Chlamydomonas reinhardtii: one gene and its partner. The protein of the gene in region 2 binds, or shares a complex with, the protein of the main gene of each other region. Links are inferred from orthologs where the notes say so. Each region holds a gene or a part of one and is shown on either strand. Other genes may lie near its edges.

Region 1 (14,802 bases), on a different chromosome or scaffold from region 2:
TGGCTGCTCCCACCCCATGCCCCCTCAACCCTCACGCCCGCCTCCCATTTCTACCCACAGCTTCTACAACCCCTGGGAGAGCCGCACGGACGCCAATGTGGACCTGGTGTACTTCACACTGGCGCACCTGCGGCGGGGCGCGGGGGGAGGCATCCAGATCCCCAAGGGGACGCAGGAGGAAAGGTGGGGGCATAGACGGGCGGGGCGGGTGGGTGGGGTGGGGGCCGGTTGGCTGGATGCTGTGAGCGGGACCACCAGGGGCGGCGGCCGGTGTGGAGCCATGCGGCGCGTGCGCTGCTGCTGACAATGGGCGCACCGCACAGGCCTTCACGCCTCAACACAGTGCTGGACACAGGGGGCACGTAGCCACAGAGCCTTTGCCAAACCTGCGAACCTGCTGCCCGCTCTATCCCCTTCCTCCCCTGCCCGCTCCCCACGCACACGCACACACACACACTCTTCCCTCCAGGAACAAGGAGGTGGCCAGCACGGACCACATGGAGGACGTGAAGCGCACCATCCTGGGCATGAGCGAGTTCATGCAGGTCATCTCCGGCAGCCAGAAGTACCTGCAGCGCAAACTGGAGAGGCACCAGAAAACCATGGTGCGGGAGGAGGGGCGGGGTGGGCTTAAGAGGTGGAGGTGGAGGTGGGGGCCCACAGGAGGTGGGGTGGGGGCGTGGGGACGGCATGGGAAGTAGGGAGTGTACCCGTCCGTGGTGGGGTTGTACGGGTGGTGTACTGGTGTGTTTTAGTGTAGGGCCTGAAGGTGGGCGGACTGGGAGGCTAGGTAGACATCTGTGCCGGATGGAAGTGCCTTACAACCTGTGACCCTACACTCCACACACCCGCCCGGCCCACCACGCCTCGCATGCCATGCTGTCCCGCCGCCCCACCCCACCCCCGTCACCCCCGCTGCAGGAGAGCAACCGGGACCGCACCCTGTTCTACACGGGGCTGGAGGTGAGCGCCTGCGCCTAGGCGGTGTGTGTGTGTGGGGGGGGGGGTTGCAAAGATTGGTACAGAGAAGTGTAGTGAAATAGACAGGGGGGGAGGGGCCAGGACGTTGGGTTGGGACTGCCGTGAACACACATCAGTAGCGGCGAGGGGAGGTGTAAACTTCACACACGCCCTTCTCGCGCCGGGTGCGGGCCCTCGTGCCCCTGCGGCACACCCGCGTCCTGACTGCCCTTGGCTGGCCGCCACTGCCGCACGCCGCCGCCTGCCCCCCGTTGGCTCCCCCACCCACCCCCACCCCTCCCCGCCCTTCCCCGCCCTCCAGGTTGGCCTGCTGCTGCTGGTGGGCTTGGTGCAGGTGCTGGCGGTCACCGGCTTCTTCAAGCCGGGCATGATGAGCAAGGCGTGCGTGTAATGCGGAGGCGCGGGAGCAGGGCCGGGTGGAGCTGTGGCGGCCGCATAGGGCTGCGGCGGTGGGCAGACAGGCTGGCAGTGAGTGGCAGCTGACGAGAGAATGACTGGAAGAGAGAGATTGGATAATGAAAGATGGCATTGGTCGAAATTGGGGCAAGGCAGTTGGAAGCGGAGTGGCGACAATATGTGTCGTGAGCCTTATGAGCTGCACCTAGCGCCGGCGCGCGCTCAGTGCAGGGCGTGTGTGAAGTGTGTAAGGAAGGTTCAGGCGCGCAGGGCTCGTGTTCATTCTCAATCTGTGTATACCTTCCGTCCGTTTGCACGTCCCATATGGTGACACAGGATAGCGAGGGGTTGACGCGCCACAAAGTCCACACACAAACCACTAACTGTCTGGCACGCCGGCCCGTGGCGTGTGTTGAGTGAGAGTGCCGCAAGCAGAGGCCGTCCCTGTCTCAAACCTTTGTTCCGTTCATGACACGTCAGCTTTGTCACACACCAACGTAATGGTCCGCGGCTCCGCGCCCATAAAGACCTTATTCCGTATGGAGTGCTGATCAGTGCTATGCCGGGGGGGGGAGCAAGTGCTCAACCCCACCCCTCCAAACCCCTCGGGGACCCCAGGGACTGACCGACCGACAGCTGACCGCTTAGGGGAGGGGGAATCAACCCCTCCACTTGAAACCGCAATCCTGCTTATCGACCGATCTCGAGAGGCTGTGTGGTTGCTGCCTGCCTGCACCATTTCACCTGCGCGGGCTTCCATCCATGGACACGTCCCCGAAATTGTTACGCCCACCCGCCCATTTTGCATCACACCCACAGTCCAGTCAAATCTCCCCCCGCAACGTTAGCCCTGGCGAGCCTGAGTGGGGGCCTCTACTGCGCTCCGTGTGCCATCCGGGCCGTGCCTCCCTTATGCAACACCTGCGCCCCCGCGCCCGCGACGTAGTCCAAATGTTCGAGATGTCAAACCCGGTCTAACTATGCGGCCAATTTCTGCGGCCGTGCGCTGCCGCCGCAAATTATCGCCAGCCGCATACCGTAATACCAGTGCTAGTGGCCAAACCATAACAACGTCGCGCTGCCAAGAACAACGCAGTGCCACAATGTAAGCTATGCTCATTCCATCATGCCCGATATCAACGCCCCACGACGAGGCTCCGACAGTCCGACCCCTGTGCATGTGCAAGGTTCATGCCACACGCATTGTGCGGCTCCGTGGCTGTCCCGGGATTATTGCCACCGCTCCCCAAATTCACAGCACAAGCAGTACTACGGTACTCTACGTCACAATCAAGAAAATGATGCTACCGTATGTAAGGCCACTGAAACTGCTGAACCCCATACCAGCCTTGCGCCTGCCAGCTTTGTGGTCCGCCTCCTCCCCTGCTCATGCCTGCACAGTGAGGGCTGCCATCGCCGCCACGGCCACCTCACCCACTTTCCCACCCACGGAGGTCTCCACCTCCGCCTCCGCCGCCTCTACCGTCGCCGCCTTGCCCTTCCCGCCTTCCCCCTCCGGCGCGCCCAGATCCCCTGCCGTGCTTATGGACACCACCACGCCCTCCCGCCCCACCTGCGGCGCCTCCTGCAGCTGCTGCGCTCCCTGCCGCGCCCCGTCCTCATCCTGCTGCCCCGCCTCCGCCTGCGCCTGCACCTCCGCCGGCCCCTCCTCCCGCTGCTGCGCGGGGTCGGGCGACCTCCACGGCCCCACGCTCTTGTACCCGCGCTGCATCCTGCCGCCGCCCCCCAGCAGGTCGGGCAGCCGCTCCGCCGGCACCAGCTTGGTGAGCTCGGGCAGGTAGTCCGCCCCCAGCATGATGATCTTCTTGCGGGTGCGCTCCTGCAGCAGAGGCTGAGAGGGACAGAGAGGGGGGCGGGGGCAGGGGGGGCGGGGGAATAGGGGCGTCAAGGACAAGAGGAGGGGCCGCGCGCAACCTCGGCGCTCGCCCTAGGCCGCGCCCAAAGACACGCGCAGCGGCCGCTCCCCTCCGCTGCGGGTGCCCGGCCTGCACCCGGGCTCACCTGCACCGCCGCCCACATGCCGCGGAAGATGAGCGGCGTGTTGATGATGAACATGGTGCCTGCGGGGTGTGAGGGGCACGTGCGTGCGCGTGTGTTTTGCAGAGCACAAGGAAACCACGCATGTGTATGTGTGGGGCCGTGTGGTGTATCAAGAGAACACATCTGCACAAGTCAAAGAAACAGGTGCAGTGTATATGTGTATATGTATAGGTACATGTTTGCGTGTGCGTGTCGGCTGGGGGTTGCCCTGGCCCTGCTGCGGGCGCGCTGCTCACCCAGGTGCTCCGGGTAGTAGTCTTGGTCGATCTTGGAGAAGGTGTTGAGCAGCCGCTGCGTGGCGGCGTTGAAGTGCGCCAGGCTGAGGCCGGCCAGGTCGATGATGACGGTGGTGGTGCAGATGGGGCGGCCCGCGGCGGCGGAGCAGGCGGGGCTGGTAGGAGGGGATGGGAGGCGCAGGCGAGAGGGGAAGAGCGGGCAGGGTCACGGGAGTGTGGAAGATGGTGGCCGGGGGGACCCCACATGCAACTCGTCCACGTCCCGATTTGCGGATCATAAACCGCAACCGGTTCTTCTCTTCGTCAGTCCCCCCCATCGGGCTACTTTAGCTTGGCTTGCTTTAGTTTGGGCTGGTATTTACACCCCACCCCCATCGGTACGCGCGCCCCCACGCCTGCGGTCTGCCTCGCTGCACCTCTCTGTACCATCTTTGCAACCCGCCACTTGTGCGCTGGAAACCCGTGCCCGTGCATCCATCATCCAGCAGCATCCCCCCCCCGCCCGCCCGCCCCCCTGCTAACTCACAGGTAGCAGCGCAGGTATCGCTCCCAGGTCCAGCAGTGGTACCTGCACAGGCCGGCAGAGGAGGAGGCAACAGGCGCGTCAGCAGGTGGCGGGCGAGGGCACACAGGGTGCGCCCGCGCCGCGCTCGGGAGGAGCCGCACGGGGTCAAACTCCAACGGCTTTGGTCGTGTACGCTTCAGACCCATTATCACCTCTTCCTTTCAGTCCGACTTCAGAGCCATTGGAAGGCGCATACGGCACGTGGACCCCATCCGCCCCGGCGCCACACCGGCGCCCCCCCCCGGGCCGCCCCCCGCCTCCCGGTCCACCTGATGAGTCGCTCCACTGAGATGACCTCGAACAGCTTGGCGGCGTCCGTGCGCCCCAGCATCTCCACATACACCGGCCGGCCGAACTTGTCTGTGGGCGCAATGGGTGCACCGCATGTGTGTGAGGGAGCGCGCACTGTTTGAGATGCCGCTATGTAGCAACCAGGGGTCTCCTGCCCATGCGGCGTGAGGTGTGAGGCGTGCCGGGGTCCTGGCCGCTGGGCTGCAGCCACGCTGGACAGGGTGCTGCCAGCGGCCCAGTCCGCGACCGCGACCGCGACTGCTGCCGTGTGGCCACGCCGGCAATGCCCTCCCCCCCTCAAAACACATACACACACGATACACATACACACACTCCCTCAGCCCCGCCGGGCGGCGGCGGCCCCAATACCGCACGATAGCCCCAAATTCTGTCCCCCGGTCGCCCACCAGTGTTGAAGGTGAAGTGTGGGTACACCTGCGGAGGGATCGGGGGGAGGCAGGGGCCGGGGGACGGCAGGGGCCGGCGGCAGGCATGATGTGCGTCAGTAACGCGGCGGCAGGGGAGGTCGGCACCAGGTCTGCCAAAGCCGTGACCCAGCAGCGCACGAGCCAACACCACTGCAGTAGCACGCCAGCTAGCACCCCGGCACTACCACAGCCTCTCAAATATACGTGCACGCAGCTTTGCTGGTAGTGTGTAGCTGGTGCAGCTCTCCCCGCCCTTCCCGCTCCACACACCGCCTTTCTCCGGTGCTCACCCGGCAGCCACGCATTCGCACGACACTTCCCCCGCCCCGCCCCTGCCGTGATCGCCCTGCAGCCCCCCCCCAGCCCTCCCCTCAGGCCGCAGGCCCCTCCCCTCAGCCCCCCAGCCCCCTCCCCTCAGTGCAGTCCAGCGCATCACCACTGCGTTTGATTCCTTCGGTCACTCCCCCCAGCCCCGCAGCTGCCCTCCAGCATTCCGCCCCACCTCCAGCAGCGCCTCCATCTCCGGGAACTGCTCTCCCGCGGGGTCGTCCCGGTACAGCCCTGTGATGCCCTCCGATTGGCGCCAGGCGCGCATGTCCCGGTACATGGACAGGGCCTGAACCGGGCGGAGGGGGTTGGAGGGGGTGGAGGGGGTGGAGGGGGAGTGAGGACGGGGCAGCAGTGGCAGGCGGCAGCCGAAGAACCTGGCAGTGGCCGCCCACAATTCGAGTAGCGGTAAAAACACGCGTCAGAAATGATCTGGCGGACTTCCAGATTACAAATGAAGGTAGCAGACATGCAGAAGTGCAGTGGCGGAGCTGGTGCGTGCGACCGGCTGTAGCCGCGTTCCAACTACCGGTTTGAGTACCCCCCACAGCGTTACTCCCCCTCCAAGCCCCTCCTCATTTTATCCTTCCCAGCACCGTTCCTAGGCCTCCTCCCCCTGCACTTCCCCTGCCCCCTCACACCTTGTCCACGTTGAAGTCCCGCGCCATAAGGAAGCGCAACAAAGTAATGTCGGCGTCGTGGTCCGGCACTATTAAATTCTCCGCCGTGAGCTGCTCGCGGAGTTTGCTAAGCGCAGCCTTCTGTTCCTCGCTGGGCGTGAGGTACCAGAACGCGTCTTTGTCCGTGTAATTGTCAGCAGCAGTCGCGCTGGGGGTGGCGGTCGTGGCCGCGCCCCAACCCGCGCCCCATCCCCACATCTTTGGCTGGTCTTAAGGTTCAAGAAAGGCTTTGTGAAACTCAGGGTGCGCCACACGGGAGCGCGCCCACACCCGGAAATCAGTGACTAGTCAACGCTATCGCGTTCTGGGCCAGGGTTCCTCTAGCGACTGAGTATGCTGAGACGAATACTGTATGCGCCCCTGAGTCCACACCATCTCAAGAGGGACTCTGCATCGACTCCATCCTGTTGGCCCTGCGCTGAGTGAGTTTGTTGCTACACGCTACACTGCAATACATAAAAGAGCCATATATCTACTGTCTTCCCATAAACCCTGGCTGTGTAAGAGCGAGCTACAAATTTTCCCGCGAAGCTTCCACCCTTGCCAACGCGGGAGTAAGCCCCTGCATCAAGCAAAGGGCGCACGTTAGAGCCTTGGATCTTGCTGGGGTCAACACAGGAGCCACAGCTGCGAGCCCGCTGAAATGTCTGGCGTCGCACGCTCACGCTTGCAAGAGGAGCGGAAAGCCTGGCGGAGGGATAAGCCGTTCGGCTTCCATGCTCGACCAGAAACCGCAGACGACGGGTAAGCGGGGAAGCGCAGCCTTCAGGCACCAGCCCGCCAAGTGGTGCACTAAGGGCCTGGGCCCACCCAGGCCTCCGCCCAGGCCCCAGGCAGCTGTTCTGCTCATAAGCGCGACTTAAGATGTGTGGGCATGGGCAAGGGGTGCCTGCGTGGGCGTGTGTCTGAGGGGAAGGGGGTGTCGTAGTAGCCCACCCATGCCAGGGCACCTGGACGGGTTAGCGTAACGTGGTTCCACACACGAGTGGCGACCCAGCCGGATGGTGGCCGGGTGCGCAGCTAGGGTTTGACTCGCAGCAGAGCTATCGTCTAACACCACGCAGCCATAGTCCAGACCCGCAGGTGACCGCTGCCGTCCTAGCGCACAGGTCGATCAGTCGCCCCGGCCCTGCCGTCCTTGCCCCGGCCCCTCCCCCGCCCAGGAGCGTGAACCTGATGAAGTGGAAGTGCCACATCCCCGGGAAACAAGGCACGGACTGGGAGGGCGGCTTCTACCCGCTCACCATGGAGTTCAGCGAGGACTACCCCACCAAGCCGCCCAAGGTGGGGACTGGGGAGGGCAGGCAGGAGGCAGGCAGGGTGGGGTGGGGGGATTTGAGGAATTGGGGGGTAGCAGGGTTTAGGAGGTGAAGTGGAGCACGAGGTACAGGGCGGGTGCGGGCTGACGGACGCGAAGGGTGGGGCGGGGCAATTGTTGGAAAGGAAAGAGGCTGGGCCGGTGGCTGTCTGCTGACCAGCGACTCGTGGAAGCCTGTGTGCGGGCTGAGGCCGGGAAGGGCGGTCGTGCACGGGGGGTCCTGTGTCGCGGCCTGCCATGTGTCTGCTGCGCCATGCAGCGCACAGCACACGCCACGCCGACGCCCCGCTGCACCTGCACACGGCGCCGTGCCCCTGGCCCCCAGCCTGTCATCAGACCGCCAGCGCTCACGGACATTGATGTGTGTGCATATGTGTGTATTGCCCCTGCGCAGTGCAAGTTCCCCGCGGGCTTCTTCCACCCCAACATCTACCCCTCCGGTACCGTGTGCCTCAGCATCCTCAACGAGGTGAGGCCGGCGCACCCATGGTCTCGGGGGGGGGGGCAGGGAAGCACGTGGTGTACTCCTCGCAATGAAGCCAGGCGATCTAGTGAGCGGCCGCAGTCCTTTGCCGCTGGAGTGGAACTGCAGCATGGTGACCGCTCGTATCCAATGGAGACCTTGCATATACCCATTCATCCCGGAACCCGCCTGACCCCACACACCATCCTGGGCCCCTCCTCCCCCTCTCGCGCTGCCCCCAGGACGAGGGCTGGCGGCCCTCCATCACCATCAAGCAGCTGCTGTTGGGCATCCAGGTGGGCGGGGGGGCTGGGGCGGGTCTGGGGAGGGCGGGGGGCTGCTGGGCAGGGGCCTTGCTGGTTTGCCATGGGCGTGTGAACGCGACGGACGCCACGCCCCAGGTCTGCTGTATCGCCCACACAACCCTGCAGCGCCTGTAATCCTCCCCTGCCTGGTGTCCCCTCCCCCTCCCTCCCTGCGCTGCCGCCACCCCCCACCCCCCGCCCAGGAGCTGCTGGACACGCCCAACCCCGGCAGCCCCGCCCAGTCCGACGCCTTCGTGCTGTTCACGCAGCAGAAGGCCGAGTACGTCAAGAAGGTGAAGCGCCAGGCGCTCAACTACCCGCCACCCTCGTGAGAGGGAGTCGCAGGCGGCAGCAGCGGCAGCAGCGGTAGCAGGCAGCAGCAGGGGCGGGGGAAGGAGCTGTAGGGAGGAGATAGACGGACGTGCAGGAGGCATGGCAGGGATGTGGGCTGTGCTATAGGGAGGGGCATTGGGACCTGTCGGGGCGGAGGATGCAGGGCGACGCAGGCTAAGCAGGTAGCAGCCCAGCTCCAACGACGCACAGGCGTCCGAGTGCTAGCTGTGTCGGGTGCGGTGGGGCGTGGGTCACGGGCACTGGTTTCCCGAGCACCAAGAGTGCGGTCGGGCGGTCACGTGGGCGTGGAGACTGATTTCTCGTGAGCAACAGGACCAAACAACTGCACAGAATGCGCGACGGGCCGTGGTGTGTGCATTCTTGCTCTTGCAGCACTGAGCAGGCTCATGAGCTGATGAGGCTGATGACCACATCAGCAATTGCATGTAATTTGCCCATGCTGGATTGCTGAGAGCCCATTGATTGCCCAGCGCTGTGTGGGCGCGGCACAACGGGGTGGTGACCTGGGGCGGCGCAGACGCGCGCACCTGTTGGGCCAATTGGGCCTACCTGTAGCGCCTGTAGAATCCGAATCTGCGAGCTCTGCGAGCTCTCAGGGGAGAAGGCGACTGATGTTAACCAGGTTAAAGGGCACCAGTAACTGTTCCATGGGGCTCCCTGCGTACGCACGACAAAGGGGTGAGACAGCGAACGTGAAGGGGCCAGACTCCACGTTCTGCGCGCGTGCCGCGGGGACAGTTCGCTGCGCCTGCCTGCGCGCGCGCCGCATGCATATGGCTCGTTCCACGTTTAGAGGCTGCTTCAGGGTTTCGGCGCGTAACAATCCATGAAATTAACGCACATTCCGTGCTTTGCATACGGGCGCAAATCACGCGCTGCATGTCGCAATCAACTATAAGGAGGCCTTAACTCGCACTGCTTCAGGATTTAAAGGTCATAGCGTACCAGCAAATAGTGGGCTCGTCCTAAGGCTGCAGTGGGCGATCAAGGTACCTCCATGTTAACGCGCTCCCGCAGCTTGTCGCCAAACATCCCGCATATGGCCATGAGCGCAGAGCACAACGATGCTATGCCAAGTTTGGATGACATTATCCGAAGCCTGGTTCCGGAGGCCGTGCCGGGCCTCTTTGCAGGCGGGCAACTGGATAGCGCGGGGGGCTTCGCGGCCTGCCGCCTTGCCAGCCGGGCTCTGCGCGACGCGCACGACCCCTTAGTGCGCAGTATGAGGCTGCGCATTAATGCAGCCGCGATGTCATTCTACCAGCAGCTTGGCCACTCGCCACTTGCGCGCTTTCCGTTCTGCGAGGATCTCACCGTCGAGTTGATCGACCACAGCGAGGCTTTGAATTACACAACTCTCGTTCATGTTGATGACGATGACCTGGACGAGCTGATGCGGGATCCAGGGCCGAAGCCAGGGCCAGAGCCGAGGCCGGAGCCGCACTGGGCGCCGGAGCCGGAGCCCACCTCCCTGGGGGAGCTGGTCGAGTTGGGTCTGGCGGGCTGCAGCGCCGCAGCGCTGTCCCGCATACGGCGCCTCGCGCCGCGTCTACTGCTAGTGTCCACAGACTGTGAGGCGCCGGGTGAGGCCGTCGGCGTGCTACTGCGGCGCCTGCCGCGCGTTGAGGTCCTGGACCTGTCCGGCTGCTGGGGCGTCCTGGGCGGGGTGGCTGGCTCCTACGACGTGGAGCGGGAGCACCTGGAGCTGCTGTATGGTGCGGTGGCGGAGGCGGCGGCTGGCAGCGTCATGCACCTGGCCCTGCCCCGCCTGCGCTTCTGGAACGCGCTGGAGGGCGTGGGCGCGCTGGCGGGCTGCGCCTCCCTGCGCGTGCTGGATGCCTGGGCGGGGCACGACTTCCGTGCTTGGCCTCGGCAGACGGATGACTCTGTGCCGGAGCTGACGGAAGAGGTGGTGGTGGCGCTGTCGCGCCTGCATCAGCTGCAGGAGCTCTACCTGGCCTGCCGCGACCCCACCATCGGCGGGCAGCTGGTGGAGTGTGTGGTGAGCAGCCACCGCCCCCGCGGGCTGCGGCGGCTGGGGCTGGCGGGCTGGGTGATGGGCGCCACCTTCACACCCTTCGAGCTCGACTTTGAGCCGACGGCCCGGGCCGGCGGCGGCAGCGGCCGCAACAGCGGCGCCGGGGCGGCTGCGGGGCGCGCCGTCATCATCAGCCGCATAAGCACCGCCCTCACCCACGCGCCGGCCGACCACGGGCTGCACGGCTATGGCAGCATGCTGCCCATGGCGGGCATATTGCGGGGCGTGCTCACGGCGGGTCAGCGCCTGCCGCTGCTGCGCCTACACACGCTGACGGGGCAGCCCTCTAAGCCGCTGGCGGCGCTGGCGGACCGCAGCGACGCCGTTGAGCTGTGCCGGCTGGACGGGCGCTCCATGCCGGCAGCCCAGCTGAAGGCGGTGGTGAGGAGCCTGGGGCTGCCGCAGCGCCTGACGCTGTGGCACGGCGCCTGGCGGCCCGCTGCGGCTGCGGAGGCGGAGGTGGGGCCGCCGGCGGCGCCGCCGCTGCTGCCGGTGGGAGTTCTGGAGGGAGCAGCAGCTGGTGGTGCGGGGGCAGGCGAGATGGGTGCTGGGCTGCTGCTGCCGCAGCTGGAGGCGGCAAGTGCGAGGCAGGTGCTGGACGCGGCCATGACGCTCGCTGGTGGTGGCCGCGGCGGTGGAAGGGGTTCAGTGGCGGTGGCGGCGTCAGAGGCGGTGGCGGACGAGGTGTTGAAGGCCGCTGTGCAAATGGTGGGGCGGGGTGGCAACAGCACTGAACGGATGTGCTACATGCGCACTGCCTGTCTGCCTGTCTGCCTGTCTGCCTGCCTGCCTGCCTGCCTGCCTGCCTGCCTGCCTGCCTGCAAGCGCACTCCTCCACCCGTCGCCCCTCATTCCCCGCCCATGCGCAACCGCAGGTGTTGTTCCGGCTGTGGCGGGAGGCGTGGGCTGCAGGTGCCGCCGGTAGTGGTGGTGCCGCTGCAGCGCCCCAGCAGCAGCCGCAGACGCGGCAGGGCCCCCTGCACCCACAGGCCAGCCGCGTGAGTCCAGAGCTGCCGGATAGGCTGACGCGGCTGCAGCAGCTCGATGCGGAGGTGGCGGAGCTGCGGGGGGCGGAGCAAGTGCGGCGGGCGGGCGGCGCTGCTGGGGGAGCAGTCGGCGGGCAGTAGGCGTGCAGTAGGCGTGCAGTGATGAGGCCCGGCGGCACTGGAACCAATTTGGCGGGAACCAATTCATCGAAGGCTGTGCCTGGCCAGTAAAGGTCGGAAACTACCGCCGTCGCCTGTCAATTGGATCAATTCGGTCAATTTGGTCCCCGGGCGGAGGCTAGGGAATGTACAGTACACTGAGAGGACTAGTGGACAACTGGCCTGCCTGGTGGTGCCTGTTAAAACCGCCCCCAGCTATGCCAAGGAGATGAGGCGAGTCCGGAAGATCTTCGCCCTGAAACCTTGTACCGTAGTCAGTACTGTTGTAGTGTGGGCGTGAGCCATATTCCTTGGATTTATCGGCAACCTGAGCAGGGGGGGGGGTACGATTGTACGAACTAAACCTCCAGACCCCATGTCCCAAAACCTCCCGACCCCCCTCAAAACCCTTTGGTTTTTAGCCAGGCCGGTGTCAATCGACTGCTCTCGGCGAGCTCTACAATTGTATACCTCCGGTTCAGCTGGAGGCACAACTTGACTGGCAGCCATGCCACACATGTCCATGTGTCCATGGCCGACCACCGACCCTTCTGTCAGACTACCGGGGCGTGCGCTTAAGCTTACAATTGCGCTGTACATATGATGTTTGGGATTGTGTGCCGGAAGAGATTGGTCGACTTTCTCCCGGGATCATGTGAAGAATCCCGGGATTCATGTCACGCTCGATGGCCGGCGGCAGCCTTGTCGCCATGACCCACACCAAGCCTTGGCCGTTACAAGTCAGAATCAGTTCGCATAGTCTCCATGACACCAGTGAGAGACGCTCGAGTGGGGCTCTACGCTACTACGATGCCGATGTGGACGGACATGCGGCCGCTTTCCAGAGGCCAAACGTTCTGCAAATGCTTCAGTATGTGCATGCTAATGTGTGCTAGTGCTTGTGCTAATGGGCGGAGCGTTTAGAGGGGCGTTTAGGGCGCAGAGACGAAATCTGGCAGTCCCACCCACATCCGCGTGACGAAACCTTGGGGACCCCCAGCCCCGACGACCGACCCTGAACTTTGAGGGCCCATAACTTTGCAATTACTACCCTGATTGAAACTCTGAAAGTGGATTTGGAGTCCTCTCGTCAAGCTCTTTCGTTTTAGAACATGGGGCCTTTCCCAGTCGAAACTACCCCCCCCCCCTGTATCTACAACCCCCCCCTGACCTGAGACTGCTTCAGGGTTTCGGCGCGTGATACTCCAGCCACATGTCTGTTGGTGCCGTAACATGTTGCTGCCGCACAGTTGCAATGCGACGCCCGAGCCAGAGGAAAGACCGGAAACCCTGCCTTGTGCTTTTATACACTTTCATTTTCGAAACCGCGCCGCTCTGACAACAAAGGGAATGCCACATGTGGTGGTGCGCCATGCAGCGTCTACAGCAACTCCTCAAACCCACCGCTCTGACGCCACTCTACTGCGCTTGGCTGGGATTAGAGCCTGCACGCACACGCTCACGCCGCACAAGGCGCGGGGCTTTGATTTCAAGAAGAGCGGAGGAGCGTAAGAAGATAATACTGAGCCGTATAATATACATAACAATTAACATGTTCAGGTGCAAAATGCAAGAAACTTCGTCACGCACGCAGGCAGGTCCACGGGCAGGTCCAACACACCGCCCACAGGTCACAAGAGTCAAGTGCCAGCCTGAAAGCAATGCTACGCCCCATGCCCCAACCCGCCCCCTCGCAATGCTGCTGCTGAGACCACATATTGCGGTGGTGCTCGCACTCGTCACAATGGTTGCCTTCTTCCCCCAACGTGCTACTCGCAGCTACCCGCTCGTTCGTTCTGCGCCCTCTCCCACTTCCATGCGTAAGCAGCCCCCCACACATACATCCGCTCCCAGTCCATCGCCTCAGGCCCGCCTACTATGACCCCGCCCCCGCGCCCCCTGCCCCCGCGCCCTCCCGCCCAGGCGGCGGCGCCGCACTGCCCGGCCTGCTGCCGCTGCCCAGCCTCATGGACCGGCGCTGCTGCTGCAGGTCCGCCAGCGGCACCCCCTCCACCAGAAGCAGCGCCCGAGGCACAGGCACGCCCACCGCAGGCGGCCGGCCGCCGCGCCGCAGCACCTCCGCAGACGTCAGCGCTCCCGCCCGCGCGCTGGGCGCCGCCGCCGCCGCCGCCGGCACCACATTGCCGGTCCAGGTGCGGCCGCCAAAGCCGCCGCCCGCGGCTGCCGCGTCCGCGAATGTATACTCGCTAAATGTGCGCGGCGACAACTGGCGCTGCAGCTGTTGCAGTTGATGTTGTTGGTGCTGCTGCTCGGCCACCCGCATGGAGCCGCTGGACCGCCGCCGCAGCCCGGGCGGACCAGCGGATCCGCGGTCCCCACCCGTCCCGGCAGCCGCCGTGGCGCCCCCTGCTGCTCCCGAGCCTGATCCTGCTACGGCCGTCGCCGCCACCCCCGCCTGCTGCTCCTCCCCCTCTGCCGCCTGTTCCAGCGGCTCACTGAGCGGCAGGCTGACTGAGCGACGTGCCACCGACACGGACGGGGAGGCGGACGCCACCCCACCGCCACCGCCACCAGCAGTCACCTCGTCCTCTTCACGCAGCGCCCACAGCCTGTCCGCCCCAGCCGCCCCTGCACTACCCGGAGTACCCGGCCCCGCGCCCTCTCCCGCTTCACCCGCCGCCTCCGCCTCACAGCTGCGCCCGCCTGCCCTCCGCCGCGCCGCCTCCCACGCCGCCTGCGCCAGCGCCTCCACCTCCTCCGCCGCCTGCTGCTCCTGCCGCCAGCGCTCCACCGCGCCGCAGCGGTGGCACTCGCAGCCGGCGCCGCACAGGGGCCCCACCACGGCGTACCGCAGCGGCAGGTCGTACACGGGAGTGCCCAGCACCATGGTGGGCGGGCCGCGGCCGGGGGGCCCGGACCGCCCCATGTGCTGAGCGTGCGGGGGCTGGCCCGGGCCGCCCTGGGTGCGCGGCCAGGCGGCACTGGGCGGCGGGTGGCCGCCTGCTGCGGCTGCGGCGGCTGCGGCCAGGTGCATGGGGCCGCCGGACACGAAGGCCAGCGGCAGCTCGCTCTGTGTGGGCAGGGTGGAGGTCGTGAGGAGGGTGAAGGTGCGAGAGAGAGAGAGAGCGGTAAGTAGCGCGTGTGGGGGGCCAGTGCAGTATAGCGGTCAGCGATTAGAGAGAGCAAGGACGCCTGTATCTGTGTGACAGCTACCGTGTACGGAGCGCCGGGTCGGTGTGCAGTTGCTGTTCTG
Region 2 (14,871 bases):
AAAACGTATGTAGGGGACAGGGGCATTGCGGCCCCCGGTGGGGGTCCAGGCACATTACACACACCGGTGGGGGCTTGTAAATACCAGCCCAAACTAAACCAAACCAACCGAAAACGAGCGGAGCACAGAGCAGAGGGCGTTAGGTGCAAAAGATAATACTTATGGAATGAGGGCCGATGCGTCGTGGAGCAGCAGGGCAAGCGGCGCCGGCGATAAATGTCGCCGCCCGGGCTCGATGGCACGCGCAACAGCACAGGACAGACACGCGGAGGCGACAAACAAAACCCACGACTTACCTGGGGGTCCAGGCACACCCCACACACCCCACACACACGCTCTCTCGACACACACACACACACACACACACATAAACACACACATACATACACACACACACACACACATACACACACAACAATCACTCCCCCCCCACACTCTACACACACACACACACACACACACTACGCACACACAGTGCACACACTCACACACACGGACACACGCCCGCCCGCCCGCACCTTGGTGTTTATGCGCAGGGTGAGCTGCGTCTTGCCGCACACCATGCAGCTGGGCCGCGGCTCCCAGGCGGTGGCCGGCACCACCAGCCGCCGGTCCACAGGCACTTCGTACAGGAAGGTGTTGCGCAGCGAGCCCAGGCAGCCTTTTTTGGGGGGAGGGGAGGGGGGGTTACAATCATGATTATTTAAGAAGTGAAGGCGTAGCCAGGTACAGTAGCATAGCAGACGCGTTTTTACCGACGTCCGTCCGGGGAGGGGGAAGGGAGTGTTGATTGATCAAGACCAGGAGATGTTGACAGGTTGTTGCAGAATGAAGGTGTGTTAGAGATCACAAAGGAGTGAAACACGTGTGTACATGCGTTGTAAAACTCAACCGGAAGGACATGTGTGCGTGTATGCGGCTTACGCATCTGAGGTGTGATACAACCCCCGGCCTATCCTGAAACCCAGCTACCCAACCCTGCTCCGGCCCCTCACCCGCCAGGATTTTGAGCGCCTCGGTGACGATGAGTCCGCTGACCACGGCGTTGGTGGTGGCGATGGCGTGGATGATGTTGCCGGCCATTCCCTTGGCGTCAAACAGCGACTGCGCAGGGAGGGGTAGGGCGAGAGCGGGAGGGAGGGGATCCCAGGCATTACCAGTCCGGATGCAGCGTTGAGGGTTTACATTCATGACTAGCTAAGGGGTTTATATGCCCGAGTCCAACGAAATAGGTCCCGACTGTCAAGAATGGAGACATTGAGGAAGGCAAGGTGAGGAGTGTGAAAAGGCAGCGGCAGTAACACTTCATACAATGGAGCAGCGAGCGCCTGGAAAGAGGTGAAGGTATTCACGGCACCGTCAAGACAGCGCACCTTCTTAACGCCCTTCGGTGCCTGCTTGAGTGTGTGCAAGCAAGCACCGAAGGACGTTAAGAAGGTGCGCCGTCTTGACGGTGCCGTGAATACCCCCCCGCCAGAACCTTCCGTTGGGACCTTACGGACCGCACGCACACCCTCGCCGGCCCCCCTGGCCCATCCAGGGCCCTTACAAGCAACGACGCATAGGAAAGCAGCAAGCACAAACACACACACACTGCGCGCCTTCCTAACACATCCATGCCGCCCAACACACGCTGCCCAACCCCCCCCCCCCGCAATCGCACGCAAGCACGCGCGCGCGCACGCACGCACGCCACCCCCCCCCCTGCTGCCTACCTCGCTACACTTCTCTGTACCAATCCTTGCAACCCCCCCCCGCCCGCAATCGCTCGTACGCACGCACGCACGCACTCATGCACGCACCTGCTCGGGGATGCCGTAGCAGCTGCTGCGCAGGTTGGATGCGGCGGTCACGAACTCCACAGCCAGGAGGTCGTCCTTGTCGAAGGCGGCGGAGCCCACCTGAACGGTGTGTGGAGGGAGGGAGGGGAGGAGGGGAGGGGAGCAGGGGAGGAGGGGAGCAGGGGGGTTGTAAATACCAGCAGACGAGGGGAGCAGAGGGGTTGTAGATACCAGCCCAAACTAGACCGAACCCAATGCATGGGGGGATAGCTGTTCATGCGGATTAAAATGATGAAAACACAAAGGCAAAGTGCCGACGGGGAGGGAAGCGGAAGGAAGCGGCCCAAAAGGGACTGAGTATACTCATATCGCAAGGAGGGTCGGGGGGCATGTGTTCGAGCAACGTGCAGGGCTGGGCACTGGGGCAGCGCACCCTGCGGTTGGTTGTCGTGACATTTCCCCCTTCTTGGTTTAACCGGTATCATACCGTACTTCAGCCGCCCCCAAACACACACGCGCACCTCGCTGGGCCGCACGGTGTGGTACAGCGCCGTGGCTAGCAGCAGCACTGCCGCGTTCTGGCCGGGAGTCCACTTCTGCACAGGGGGTGGAGCGAGCGTGTGGGTGTATGGGTACATCGCTAGTGTCGACGGCACCGTCGGTACCTTGAATACAGAACACGCACACACGCACACGCACACGCACATACACACACGCACACACATGCACACACACACACCTGCACATATACACACACACACACACACCTGCACATACACACACGCACATACACACACACACCTGCACATACACACACACACACCTGCACATACACACACGCACATACACACACACACACCTGCACACACGCACACACACACACACACACACACACACACACACGCACATGCACACACACACACACACACCTGCTCATACACACACACACACACACACACGCCGTACCTGGCTGGCGTTACTCAGCCCCAGCAGCTTGCACGCGCTGGCGCCCGCCCCCGCTCCCGCCTCTGCCGCCTTGTCCAGCGCCGCCTGCAGCGCCGCCCTCTCGGCCGGCGGCAGCAGCTGGTCCAGATGCAGCGCCCGGGGGGGCGGCCGTTTCTCCCACAGCTCCTGGGGTGCGTGTAATGTGTGTGTGTGTGTGTGTGTATGAATATGTAGGGGTGTCAGAGAGCACAAGGGAAGGAAGCACGCAGGACTGTACGTGTGTGTTGCGATGCGGTGCGACGCCCGCGTGTGTATAGGTTTTGTGTGCGTAAGGGGCGTCGCCAAACGTTCGTCGGCGGGGCGGGGCGGCAAGTGCACGCGGCGCACCCGCCCCCCACCCCCCCCCCCCACACACACCCCTCCAAACCTTCACCCCCCTCCAAACCTCCACCCCCCCCCACACACACACTCTACACACACACACCCCACCGCACCCACCTTGACCTCCGCCAGCCTCTGGATGTCGGTGGTGTACACGCGGCCAAACACACGCGCCGCGTACTCGAGCGCCGGTTCGCCGTCACGGCGCAGGAAGAAGGACGGGTCCTCGGCCTGCGCGGCTGCGGCGGCGGCCGAGGCGGCGGCGGCTCGCGCCTCCTCGCTCTGCTCCCCCGCCTCGGCTGCCCCCTCCTTGCCCTCGCCCCCTTCCTTGTCGCCCTCCTCCTGTTTGCCCGGCTGGCCGCCCTCGCGTGCCGCCTGGTCGTCAAGATCTGTGAGGGGTGGGTTTGGGTAAGGACGATTGTGAAGGATCGGTTTGGGTAAGTAGAGGCGCGTTGGGGCGGCACACATTGGGCTGGGGTTGTTGCAGATTTGACCTAAGGGGCTTCGCCTTCGGGGCTCTGATTCCCCTGACTGGGAATGGCGAAAACAATGCCCCCCTGCCCTCACTCGTGCGGCTGCGGCTTCTCCTTGCAGCGCTACTGTTTCCTTTCTAAATGGATTGGTTCAGACTTAAACCCCCCAGTCCTCTCACCCGACACGGCGTCCGGCGCGCCGAACAGCCTGTTGAACAGCAGGTCCTTGGCCCACACGATGGTGTGGATGGGCTTGTCTGGCGTGTTGCGCAGCGTGCAGATGGGGTAGGTCTTGGGCGCGGGCTTGGCGCTGCACTCGAAGCACTCGGTGCGGCCCTTGATGTGCACCGTCACCTGAGCACCAGGGGGGAGGGTGTTAGGAGAGGCGGGGGCAGGGCACAGAGGAGGGAGAGTGAAGGGGCGGGGTGGCTGCACAGCGGGGCGTTTGGGGGTGGCAGGCATTGGTTGGGTGGTAGCCAGGAACTGGGGAACCCAACCCATCTCACATGCCCTCGGCCGCATGTGTTTTTCAGGGGCGCGTACAAAACATGATGTGCTGCGCCATTTTACCTGCCCCGCCTCTCCCCCCCCCGCAACTGCAACTGTACCTGCCTACGACTTCACTTCTTAATTAATCATGAATGTAACCCCCGCCCCGCCCGCCCCCCCCCCCTCGCATATGCGGCTGCAGTTTCTCCTTGCAGCGCGACTGTTTCCTTACGGGATTGGTTCAAAGTTAACCCCCCCCCCCCCGCCCTATACACACACGCACACGCACCTGGCCCAGGTACCCCGCGGTGCCGCTCTCCACCAGCGGCCGCTCCGCCGCCAGACACAGCCGGTTCACGTGCCGCCGGGCCTGACAGGTGACAGCAACAGCGACAACGTGGAGGCAGCGTGGCGGCAGAGGGGGGGGGCAGCGGTGAGTCGTGCATGTGCTTGTGAACGGGCCCCGACACATCCTCCCATTCCGTGCCCCCGACAAAACCACCCCGACGACAAGTTCAAACCCACACCCAAACCCATCCACGGGCTCCCCCGCGCTCTTTGCCTCTGCATCTCACGGTTTGCTCTAGCTGTCCTTACTGCAATCCGTGGAATGGAAACAATCTCAACCCTCCCACGCACACCCTTCCACACACACCCCATGCCCCATGCGCCGCCCCATCCCTCCCACCTCCAAGTTGTCCAGGCCGTTGAGCACCAGGTCGAAGCGGCGGAAGAAGTCCACGTCGAAACGGCCCTCCTTGACGTTGGCGTGGTACGGCGTGATGGAGGCGCCGGGGCAGAAGCCCTGCGGGTGCACACACATACACACACACACACACGTATTATTTGGTAGGCAGGTTGTGTACTTGCTTCAGGCGTAAACTGAAAGCTTAGAAACGCGGCGGTGTCAACCGATGGAGCGATCAGCCACACCACAAGATACGGTACCGTTGTGCTCACGCCCGTGCTTGGGAACTCCCACCCGCCCAGCCGGTGACCAGCCGTCATCGTCGTCCGCACGGCCAGCCCGCAGCCCACGCCCCAATGCTCCCGCCCGCCCCCAAAACACACCACCACCTCCCTCCAGCAACCTACACTCCCCTGGCCTCACTCCCAACACACTCACTCCCCACACACCCCGATACAGCGCGCCCGCACCTGCACCACGGCCGCCGCGGTGTTGGCCTTGCTCTGTCCCACGTGGTGCTTGCGGAACAGGAACTGGCGGTTCAGGTTGGAGGTCTCAATGGTGTCAAGGTCAATCTGCCGCCGGGGGAACGGGGAAATCGGTGGGGTTGGCATGGGGTCGGCACGGGGGCGGCGGGGGCATATCCCTCAGTCCGCAAGAAGTGAGCCAAGTCAGCACTAGCGGTAAGTGCGTGCCCCCGCACCCACCCTCCCCAGCCCCACGGCAGCACACGCGTGTCACTGTAGCCTGTGCCTGTAGCCGCTCCGCCTGTTGTAGCTTGGTTTGCTTCAGTTTGGGCTGGAATTCACGATTTCCTCCCTACCAATCCTTGCACCCCCCCCCGGCCGGCACTCGGCAGTGTCTATCGTATCTCGGCCACGACCCCGCTGTGGCGCCCCCAGTCAAGTGTCAGCCCAGCTCCACGGGCTCACGGGCCTACACGCGTCCCGCCACCGTAAGGACGCCTTCGTAAGGGCACACCACCCGGGGCGCGGAGTCTTGCCCTCCCACGGCATCCTACACCCGTGGCTGTAAACACTTCAGGCGGCAGGTGCCAGCCCCCACTCCTTTTCCTCCCATGTCCGTTTACTCGGCCCCCCCGCCACGACGGCAGCTAGGGCCGCCTCACCCTTCCCGCTCACGTCTGCTTTCGGGGCAACACCGGCTGTGAGCTGGGCTGTAAGACCGCCCTGCCAACTTGGAGGGACCTCTCCACCTACCAGTGTCACTCCTCCCCCCGGTCGAGGCCCGGCCGACTCGGCCCCAACTCACCACCTCGATGTTCCGGAAGCCCGTGCACACCAGCGTCTTTAGCAGCTCACAGCCAATGCCGCCAGCGCCCACGCACAGCACCTTTGCTGACTTGATCTGCGACGGGTGCCCGCCTAAATGTCAGCCCAAGCGCAAGTCGCTTGCTAGCAATTGGTCCCACAGTGTTTAAAATACAAGGCAAGCCTACGAATTGCTAACCTTCTCCTTGAACTCCTTGGTTCGCAGCACGCCGGGCCAGGATGGCTCCGCAGGCGCCTTTGGGGCCTCCATCTTTGCTATGAATCAAACAAACTAGTTGATTAGATGGTTGAATTATAGCGGTCGATATTTAAAGTGCCGAGGGCGCGAGGGCGACTTTCGGGTTCCAGCGCCCCGCCAAGGCGCCAAGGTTATGCAATTGAAGGTATGAATACCTCACCTATGAAACGGAAATAAAGTAAAGTTCGCGGTCAGGCGGTTCGTCGACCGTGTCATGCGTGGCGTGCCCAGAGGCATGGGGCATCGGGGCCCAAGGTGACAAAAGCTTTGTGGAGTCTGCTGGGCCCCATTACAGGGGCACCTCTTGCCCGTCGCAAAGTACCGTATAACCGTATTCGAAGCGTGCGCACCGTAGCACGGCAGCAGCACAGCCCCTTCATTCCGGGGCATCCTACCGCCAGCAATTCCTGAACTCACGCCCTGCACAAAACTGTAACAGTCGTCCATACATCTGATACATGTCCATCTCCTGCACTCCTGAGTCTGCCTGCTAGCATACTGGCTGTCTGCCTGCAGCCTGCTCCCCCCCTATATCGTACATACCCGCCCGCAGTGCGTAACTGCGCCATGCATGTAAACTGTTTGGCTTCTCCTAAAGCCCTAAATGCGGGCCCATCCTGCCTCTGCCACGGCCCTGGACACACACCGGCACACACCGGTGCAGGAATACACCCACCCAGTACCGTATCACACCCGCCTTTGAAAGTCACGTACAACACCCACGCCCAGGATGAATTGGTCTTCTTCACACCGCACCCGTGCACCGCACCCCCGCACCCATCCACAAGACAGACACACACACAAGCCCCACACAACCTCACCACCCCACATTCACCACCTCCACCTCCAACACTCACCACCACACCCTGAATCACCACCCCTCCCTCCTCACCCCTCCCCTCCCCTTCCCCCCCCCTTCACCGCTTCGCCGCCACACCCAGCTTGCGCGCCCACGACTGCGCCTTGGTGCCCTGGTACCCGCCCCGCCCGCGCCCGCCGCCGCCGCCGCGCCCGCCGCCGCCGCCAGTGCCGTACTCCATGTAGCGGTAGCCGGCGCCGCCAGTGAGCGCCGCCATGTCGCCCAGCCGCCGCCGCGCCGCCGGCCGGCCGCCGCCCGCCGCCGTCAGTCCCTCGGCGTCCTCGTCGCGCAGGTGTTCCACGCCCGCCTCCTCCATGCCTGTGGGGGAAACGGGTGGGTTGGATTGGTTTGTTCCAATGACAGGATACCGTAAGCCATTGCCAGCCCAGAAGCCGTAGAGCGCGGAGGAGAGGGTTGTACTCGTGGGAGCGAGGGTGGGTGGCAGTGATGGGAGAGAGGGTGTGAACGGTGAAGTGGTCTGGGAGCAGGGAGCTGCCGGTGTGCTACTGCTGCCGAGCGCGGCCCTGTATGTCACTTCCCATCGCTCCCCGTCCCGCAACTGCCCCGTCCTTTCTTCCTTCCTTCAACCTCCCATTCTTCGTTGCCCTCTTCCCTGCCTCCTCCCTACCCTCCTCCCTCCCCTCCTCTCCCCCGCTCCTGCCCCCTGTGCTCCGCTCGTTTTCGTTGGGTTTGGTTTAGTTTGGGCTGGTATTTACAACCCCCTCCCCTCCTCCCCCCTCCTCCTGCCCCCCCCTCTCCCTCACCCGCCGACAGCACGCGGCTGAGCAGGTCCAGCTGACTGGGCCGGTCGCTGTACATGAGGCCCTCGCCGCCGCCCGCAGCGTCCAGCAGGTTGGTCACCACCTGGAGCAGGGGAGGCGAGGAGGAGGAGGAGGCGGAGGAGGGGTAGGAGCGGTATGACTGTCGTACGAAAGCAGTATTGAGATGACGAGGAAAGAGGATAGCGGAGGCGCAGTCAGGACATTATCATTCAGACAGACACACACCGCCGCCGCCACTGCCACTTCCGCCCCGCTCCCTCTCCCCTCCACTCATCCCATCCATCCACCCCTCTTCCCCCCACCCACCTTGAATGAGTAGCCCTGGTCGATGAGGAACTGCTGGCGCTTGGTGGAGTAGAACATCTCCTGTGGGGGTTGAGCGCATCAGGACCGGACACATACAGGACAGTCGGGACAGCTCGTGTGTGTGTGTGTGTGTGTGTGTGTGTGTGTGTGTGTGTGTGTGTGTGTGTGTGTGTGTGTGTGTGTGTGTGTGTTGGAACGGCGCCCAGCCCCACGCCTCCACACGCCCACACCTCCACACGCCCACGCCGCCACACGCCCACGCCGCCACACGCCTCGCCTCCACACCCCCTGCACGCACCTGGGTGTCGTTGGACACGAGCGTGTAGAAGAAGGCGTTGAACTGCCAAGGCGGGCGGGGAGAGGGGGGGAAAGAGAGGGGATGCGGGGTCGGGGATGTGGAGGGCCGCGGAGCAACCGGTGAGCAGCTGAGATACGCATGGCGGGGGCGGGGGCGGGGGCGGCGGCACGGACATGTCGGCGATTCCCAAACATGCCCCCACAATGCCGGTTGGACTCCAACGTCCAACTTTTATTTGCTGGGGCGGGATTGGTTGCTCTGCCACACGCCGGCGCAGCCCCACCAGACAGCATACGGTACTGTACACCATAGGGAAACGACTCCCACTGCTCCATTCCAAGCTCTCCGACCTATCTGGCCCAGCAGCCGACCCAATGCGCACTATGATCCGGTGCATCCAGAAACGTGTGGCGCTGTGTGTGTGTGACCGTCGGAACACACACGCGTGTGCCCCACCCCGCTGCCCTTCCTCGCGTAACCCCCAGTTTTCACGCAGCTATAAAGTTTTTTCATTTTAACTTTTTTCGAGATTGTTTTTCTCAACGCCAAAAAACGAATTATGAAAAATATTTCCTGGCAGTACGGTATCCCCCGCCCCCCCCCCCCCCCACACACACACACACATCACCGCACCACCACGAACAACACACACACACACACACACACACACACACACACACACACACACACACACACACACACACACAAACCCACACGCACACACACCCACACCCACACCCACACACGCACACGCACACACACTCACACGCACACTCCCACTGCCCCTGCCCCACCTCGCCCTCGTGCCCGCTGCCGGCCTTGCCGCGCTTGGCTCTCAGGATGCGGCCCAGGCGCTGCGCCTCCTGTCTGCGGCTGCCGGCGTGGCTGCTGATCTGGATGAGCACGTTGGCCTCCGGGATGTCCAGGCTGTTGTCACCCACCTGGTCAGAGGGATGAGGGATGAGGGGTGAGAGATGAGGGATGAGAGGTGAGGGATGGGGCGAGAGGGCAGGAGCAGCAGCAGGGGCAGCGGATGTGGTGGGAGGCATGTGGGAGGGATGTGAGAGGCACGTTGGGCTCTCAACACAAACACATACACACACACACACACACACACAGCAACACCTCTGCTCTCCCCCCCCCGCGCCGCACCTTGGACAGGAACACGGTGTTGATGTCGGGGTTGTGTTTGAAGGCGTGCAGCACGCGGGTGCGCTCGGCGTGGCTGGTGGGGCCGTAGATGAAGGGCTTGCGCACTGCCAGGGGGGAGGGGGGAGATAAGGGGGGGGGGGGGGTAGCCGTTCATGCGGAGAGGGGGTTACATTCATAAATACCGTATTCAAGAAGGGGGGACGTGTGTGGGGGGGGGGCATGGGGTGGTAGGGGTGGGTGTAGGCGGGTGAGGCGAGTGGGGGGGGCGGGGGCAGGGGGTAGGCAGCAGCATGGGGACACGGCGGCACGCACAGGTCGGCACTGCTGCTGCTGTTCCTGCCGGCGGCGGCGCTGGCGGCGGCGCCACTCACTGCGTGTGGCGTACTCGCGCAGGGCCCAGATGTTGTCGCTGAACACGATGCACTGTGGGGGGGGAGGTGGGGGGGGGGCGCAGTTGAGGGTTGGGGGATGGAGTTGGTAATGGGCTTGAGGTGGTATGAGTGTATGACCGGCGTCAAGCCTGATGTCGGGCAACCTTGCATTCGCGCCACGCCCTCCCCTGCCTCCCCGCCTCCTTTCCAACCCCCTCCCCCCTTCCTCTCCCCGTGCTTCCCCTCTCCCGCTCCGCCTCCCTCCCCTCCCCCTCCCTCCCCACCTTGTCTCCCCGCACTCGCTCGTGGAAGTCGATGAGGAACTGGCACGCCATGAACTTGTTGGGATTCATCACGTAAAGCAGCTGCTTGCGACCGCTGTTCTCCTTCTTCAGGTACTCCCTGCGGGGGGTTGGGTCCGAAACGTGTGTGTGTGTGTACTTGCGGTTTGGGGTATGAGTTTGGAGCTTCTACACGCGTACCGGCGTACCATGCACACGCATACACACACAGCGCCCCGTCCACCTCCGTACCCTCGCGTTTCCCTTCTCGCAGGCGCTCTTTCTCCCTCCCACGCGCCCCCCCCCTACACCCTCTCCTCCTCCCTCACCTCCCTGCACCTCCCCCGCCCCCTACACCCTCTCCTCCCTCCCTTCCCTCCCCTCCCTCTCCTCCCTCCCCTCCCCTCCCCTCCCCTACACCCTCCCTCCCCGCCCCCGCCACCCCACTTGCCCCCTCAACCCCCCTGCCCCCCCCCGCCCCCCTCTCTCTCGCCACCCCACCTGTAGAACTCTGCTGTCATGGGGCACCACACCTCGGCGCACTGCACGTTGGCGATGTGGCCGGCGCGAGTGAGGTCCAGCCAGTTGGCCTCGTACAGCTTGGGGCCTACACAGGGGGGGGAGGGGGAGGAGGTAGAGGGAGGAGGGGGAGGAGCAGGGGGAGGGGGAGGGGGTTGCAAGGATGTTTGGAAACGCAGTACAGGATGCGCTGAGGGAGGAGCAGGAGAGGGAGGGAGGGGGAGGAGCAGGGGGGGAGGGAGGGGGTTGACGCGCATGTGGCATGCCTCATGTCACACAGGCCTGCGTGCGCGTGTGCGTGGGGCCGTGCCAGCGCGATGACGCGTCCCACAGCCGCCACCTGCCAATCTCCTAGGCTGCGCCCTCCCCTCCCCTCCCCTCTCCCCTCCCCCTATCCCCCCCACCCACCGCAATCCCCCTCCTACCGATGAGGAAGTTGAGGTCTGCGATGCGCTCGTCCTCGCGCACCAGTGTGGCTGTCAGGCCCAACTTGCAGTGGCTCTTGCACGTGCTGATCACCTGGGGGGTGGAGGGGTGTGGGGGTGGGTTACATTCATGATTAGTTGAGTGGTAGACAGGGTGGGGGGGCAGACAGGGTGAGAGAGAGGGGCGAGGCGAATAGGGCTCAGGAGTGTTCTCCCTCCGCCATTCTGCCTCTTAATCCCCCCTGCCCCTTCTGCTGTCTGGTGCCTCCTTAGCCTCCTGCCTGCCGCCCCCGACCTGCCCTCAAACCCTTCTTAGTGGGGCTTGCCAAATCAGCACCCCTCTCCCCCTTCCCCCTTTCTCCCTAACCCCTTCTCCCTTCTCCCCTCTCCCCTTCTCCCCCTCCCCTAACTCCCCCCTCCCCCCATTTTCTCTCACACACACACTCCCTCTCCCCCCCACACACACACTCCCCCCGCCCCCCGCCCCCCCCCCGCCCCCCCCCATCCCCCCGCCCCCACCGTGCGGAACATCTGCGCGGGCACCACGTGCACCTCGTCCATGAGCAGCAGCCCCCACTCGCGGCTGCGGATGATGTTCATGATGCGCTCGCTCTCCTCGGAGCGCTTGCCGCTGAACGCGATCATGGTGAAGGTGGTCACCAGCACACCCGCCTCGCCTGAGGGGAGTTACATTCATGATTAATTAAGAAGTGAAGTCGTAGGGAGGGGGGAATTGGGAGGGGTAGCCGTGCATGTGAAGAACGGAGTGATTGTATCACAAGTTGGAGGTGAGGTTGGGGGTTGGGGTCCATGCACATTTGTTTCTCGGCTGGGTGGCCCCGTGCCTCGAGACAGAAGACTGGATTTTGTCGAACCGCAACAACAACACAACCGACAGAAGCACAGACACACACAGAGCGAGAGAGAGAGACAGCAACACACGCCCACCTGGGAACATCTCCTTGTTCTCAGATGTGAAGCGCGCGATCTGGTGGTCACCTGTGTGCGAGCGAGCGAGCGAGCAAGCAGATGAAAGCGCGCCAGCGAGCACAGGTGTTTGATGAGCCCTGCAGTCCAACGTACGGCATAGCACCCCGCGCCGCAGCCCCAGTCCCGCCTAGCCCCCGCCCTCCAGCCCACACCCATCCACCCACCCACCCCGCCCTCCAGCCCCCTCCCCTCCCCTCCCCCTTCCCCCCATCCCCCCCCCCCGCCCTCCCCCTTTCCCCCAGCCCCGCCCCCACCAATGGACGTCCACAGCTGGAACTGGTACTTCCACTGGTCCACCGACACACTGCTGGTGCACAGGCACAGGCAGCTCTTCTTGACGCGGCTGGCCGCAGCCACACCCACCAGCGACTTGCCGGCGCCGCAGGGGAGCACGATGATGCCGGAGCTGCAGGGAGGGAGGGGGAAGGGGGAGGGGGGAGGGGGAGGGGGGTAGCCATCCATGGGATGGTGTGTATCAAATATGAAGTGAAGTGCCGACGTCCAGAGGTACAGCGGGCACACGCGACGCATTCCATACCGTTGTTTCGCCAGCGGCAGGCTGCTGGTTCCCCCGTGTTTCCGTGGCGGCTAACGCTAAAATACTAAGTTCCTATTGAAAGCAAGTAGTCTGGAGTAGTAGTGGTGATAAGTAAGGCTCGTTGGTAAAGAAGCTGAGTGCATGCGTCTAGGTGGCTAGCTTAGCTGCTGCGGCGCGAAACCGGGACCCCGCGAACTCACCTAATCGCTCAGCAATGCAAGCCACGCCAGAGCCGCGCGCGCAAGGGGAAGCACACACAGGAAAAGGGCGAGCGGCAGTCAGGCGTGGCGGACTCAAACGGCAAACAGGCGGCACAGACATACAAGCAAACGTGCAATGCGAGTAGGGGAGGGGGGAGGGAGATGAGGGGGGTTGCAAAGATTGGTACAGAGAAGCGTAGGGGGGGTTGTTACATTCATGGTTAGCTAAGAGGAGGAGGAGAAGAGATGAGGGCGGGAGAAGAGATAAGGGGGGGAGAAGAGGTGGGGGGGAGAGGAGATGGGGGGGTTTGCAGCTGTTGATGGAGAACCGAGTCACAAGTTGGGGGGTGAGGAAGATGCACTGAGGAGGGAGGTTGTTCATTCCAGAACCCAAAGGGGGCGAGGCGAGAGGGAGAGGAGGGAGAGGAGCGCGAGTCCAGTCGAACTTGGTTGGCAGCGCCGCACAGGCTCGGTAGGGGGCCGGATGGGGCGTATGACAGGAGGGAGCATCCAGACCGGCGCCCACTGAAGCCCAAGCCAATGGCACCCAACAGCGGACACCTCAGCCCCTCCTAACCCCAATCCATTCTTCGTAGTAGTGACAACAACACTGCGAAACCCCACCCCACCCCCCCGCCCTCACCGCGCGCGGCCGTTTCCGAACATCTTGCTCAGCGACTTCTCCTGGTAGGGCCGTAGCTTGACGTGCGGCTTGAGCTCGAAGGGCAGGAGGTCGGGGTTGCGCCGGTCGTTCCTGTGCGTGGGCCGCCGCGTGCGTGTGCGTGTGCGTGTGCGTGTGTGTGTTAAAAAACGAAACGAAAGCCCGCCCAGACGACGCCGGAGTTACTTACGGATACCTACCAATTTACCGAGCGTCGCGTGGTTGTCGTCACCCAGGTAGTCGTGTGCGTGTGTGTGTGCGTGTGTACTCCGCCCTCCGTTCACCGCCCTCTGCTCCCCGCCCCACGCCCCGTCTTTCAAGGACGTCCAACCCCTCCCCCTCCCCCGCTCCCCTCCTCAACCCCCGCACTACCTTCATTGTTGGGCTCAAGCAGGTACCTCCCCCCTCCCCTCCCCTCCCCCCCAAGATCGCCTACCCTCCACCATTCTCTTAGCCAATCATGCATGTAAACCCCCCCCTCCACCCCTTCTCCCCCCTTCTCCCCTCCTCTCCGCCCTAGCCTGCTGGCTGTTGTGCTTTTTTTTGGTGGAGAAGGCGTGGAAGGCGTGAGCCTTGTGTCTCCGTGTCTCTTTTGCCTTGACCAGGACTGGGGCCCTATCCCCTGCTGTGTCGGGCGTGCTTAGGGGTGAGCGTGTGGAACGCGCTCACCCAACACTAGGGCTTGTCAGCCCTAGTCATCAGTGGCTTCGCCACTACCAAGTGTAATTATTATCCCTCCTCCCCCCCTTCCCCCTCCCCCCCACCCTCCTGCCCACCTGAAGTCGTACTCCTCCAGCATGGGGTAGTTGAGGCCCTCGGGCATGCAGCGCTTCTTCACCTCCTCCACCTGAGGGGGGGAAAGGGGGGAGGGAGGCAGGGGGGAGAGGGGGGGGAGGGGGGATTTACATTCATGATTAATTAAGAAGTGAAGGCGTAGGCAGGTACAGGTGGGGGAGGGGGGTTAATTTTGAACCAATCCCGTAAGGAAACAGAGGGGGGGAGGGGGGGAGGGAGGCAGGGAGGGCGAGGGAGGGCGAGGGGGGGGGAGAGGGGGGAGAGGGGCGAGGGCTGCAAGGATGTGTTTAAAAGGGAGAGCGGGGGGAGAGGGGGAGAGGGGGAGAGGGAGCAGCGGGTGGGGGAGGCAGAGGGAAGAGGGGGGTACAGGCTGGGCAGGGTGGGGAACAGGGCTGGGCGCGAGTGCG

Evidence for each region.
Region 1: the proteins of CHLRE_06g296983v5 (region 2) and CHLRE_02g142000v5 are in contact, whole or in part, in a crystal structure (PDB 6GUM), measured with the Arabidopsis thaliana proteins. The link is inferred for Chlamydomonas reinhardtii from reciprocal best matches to the Arabidopsis thaliana genes SAE2 and SCE1. Residues at the interface, in NP_179742.2 of Arabidopsis thaliana: Leu469, Met471, Gly473, Asn474, Ser475, Leu476, Glu479, Val480, Gly481, Asp483, Leu484, Asp485, Met488, Asn491, Tyr492, Asn495, Pro504, Thr514, Glu516, Asp517, Leu518, Gln519, Lys525; in NP_191346.1 of Arabidopsis thaliana: Arg7, Ala11, Arg14, Lys15, Arg18, Lys19, Lys28, Pro29, Thr31, Asp34, Gly35, Thr36, Val37, Asn38, Leu39, Met40, Glu67.

The regions. Positions count from the first base shown.
Region 1 is NC_057005.1:7,833,179-7,847,980, reverse strand, and holds CHLRE_02g142000v5 (uncharacterized protein), read left to right. Parts: upstream 1-6,424; 5' UTR 6,425-6,608; coding exon 6,609-6,709; intron 6,710-7,128; coding exon 7,129-7,249; intron 7,250-7,677; coding exon 7,678-7,752; intron 7,753-7,988; coding exon 7,989-8,042; intron 8,043-8,254; coding exon 8,255-8,383; 3' UTR 8,384-9,044; downstream 9,045-14,802. Other genes in the region: CHLRE_02g141900v5 (uncharacterized protein), read left to right, coding at 61-183, 470-605, 922-963, 1,283-1,372; CHLRE_02g141950v5 (uncharacterized protein), read right to left, coding at 2,765-3,229, 3,400-3,458, 3,675-3,829, 4,201-4,242, 4,509-4,599, 4,938-4,965, 5,461-5,574, 5,927-6,163; CHLRE_02g142050v5 (uncharacterized protein), read left to right, coding at 9,475-11,151, 11,319-11,570; CHLRE_02g142100v5 (uncharacterized protein), read right to left, coding at 13,465-14,619. UniProt on the Arabidopsis thaliana protein: SUMO-conjugating enzyme that accepts the SUMO proteins from the E1 SUMO-activating heterodimer SAE1/SAE2 and catalyzes its covalent attachment to other proteins with the E3 SUMO ligases SIZ1 and MMS21.
Region 2 is NC_057009.1:7,062,435-7,077,305, forward strand, and holds the start of CHLRE_06g296983v5 (uncharacterized protein), read right to left. Parts: upstream 6,440-14,871; 5' UTR 6,300-6,439; coding exon 6,228-6,299; intron 6,126-6,227; coding exon 6,030-6,125; intron 5,333-6,029; coding exon 5,228-5,332; intron 4,875-5,227; coding exon 4,758-4,874; intron 4,440-4,757; coding exon 4,359-4,439; intron 3,935-4,358; coding exon 3,760-3,934; intron 3,497-3,759; coding exon 3,225-3,496; intron 2,913-3,224; coding exon 2,748-2,912; intron 2,378-2,747; coding exon 2,303-2,377; intron 1,902-2,302; coding exon 1,803-1,901; intron 1,105-1,802; coding exon 996-1,104; intron 662-995; coding exon 519-661; intron 1-518. Other genes in the region: CHLRE_06g297016v5 (uncharacterized protein), read right to left, coding at 7,205-7,464, 7,911-8,010, 8,235-8,294, 8,533-8,574, 9,327-9,473, 9,685-9,788, 10,056-10,107, 10,340-10,457 and 7 more.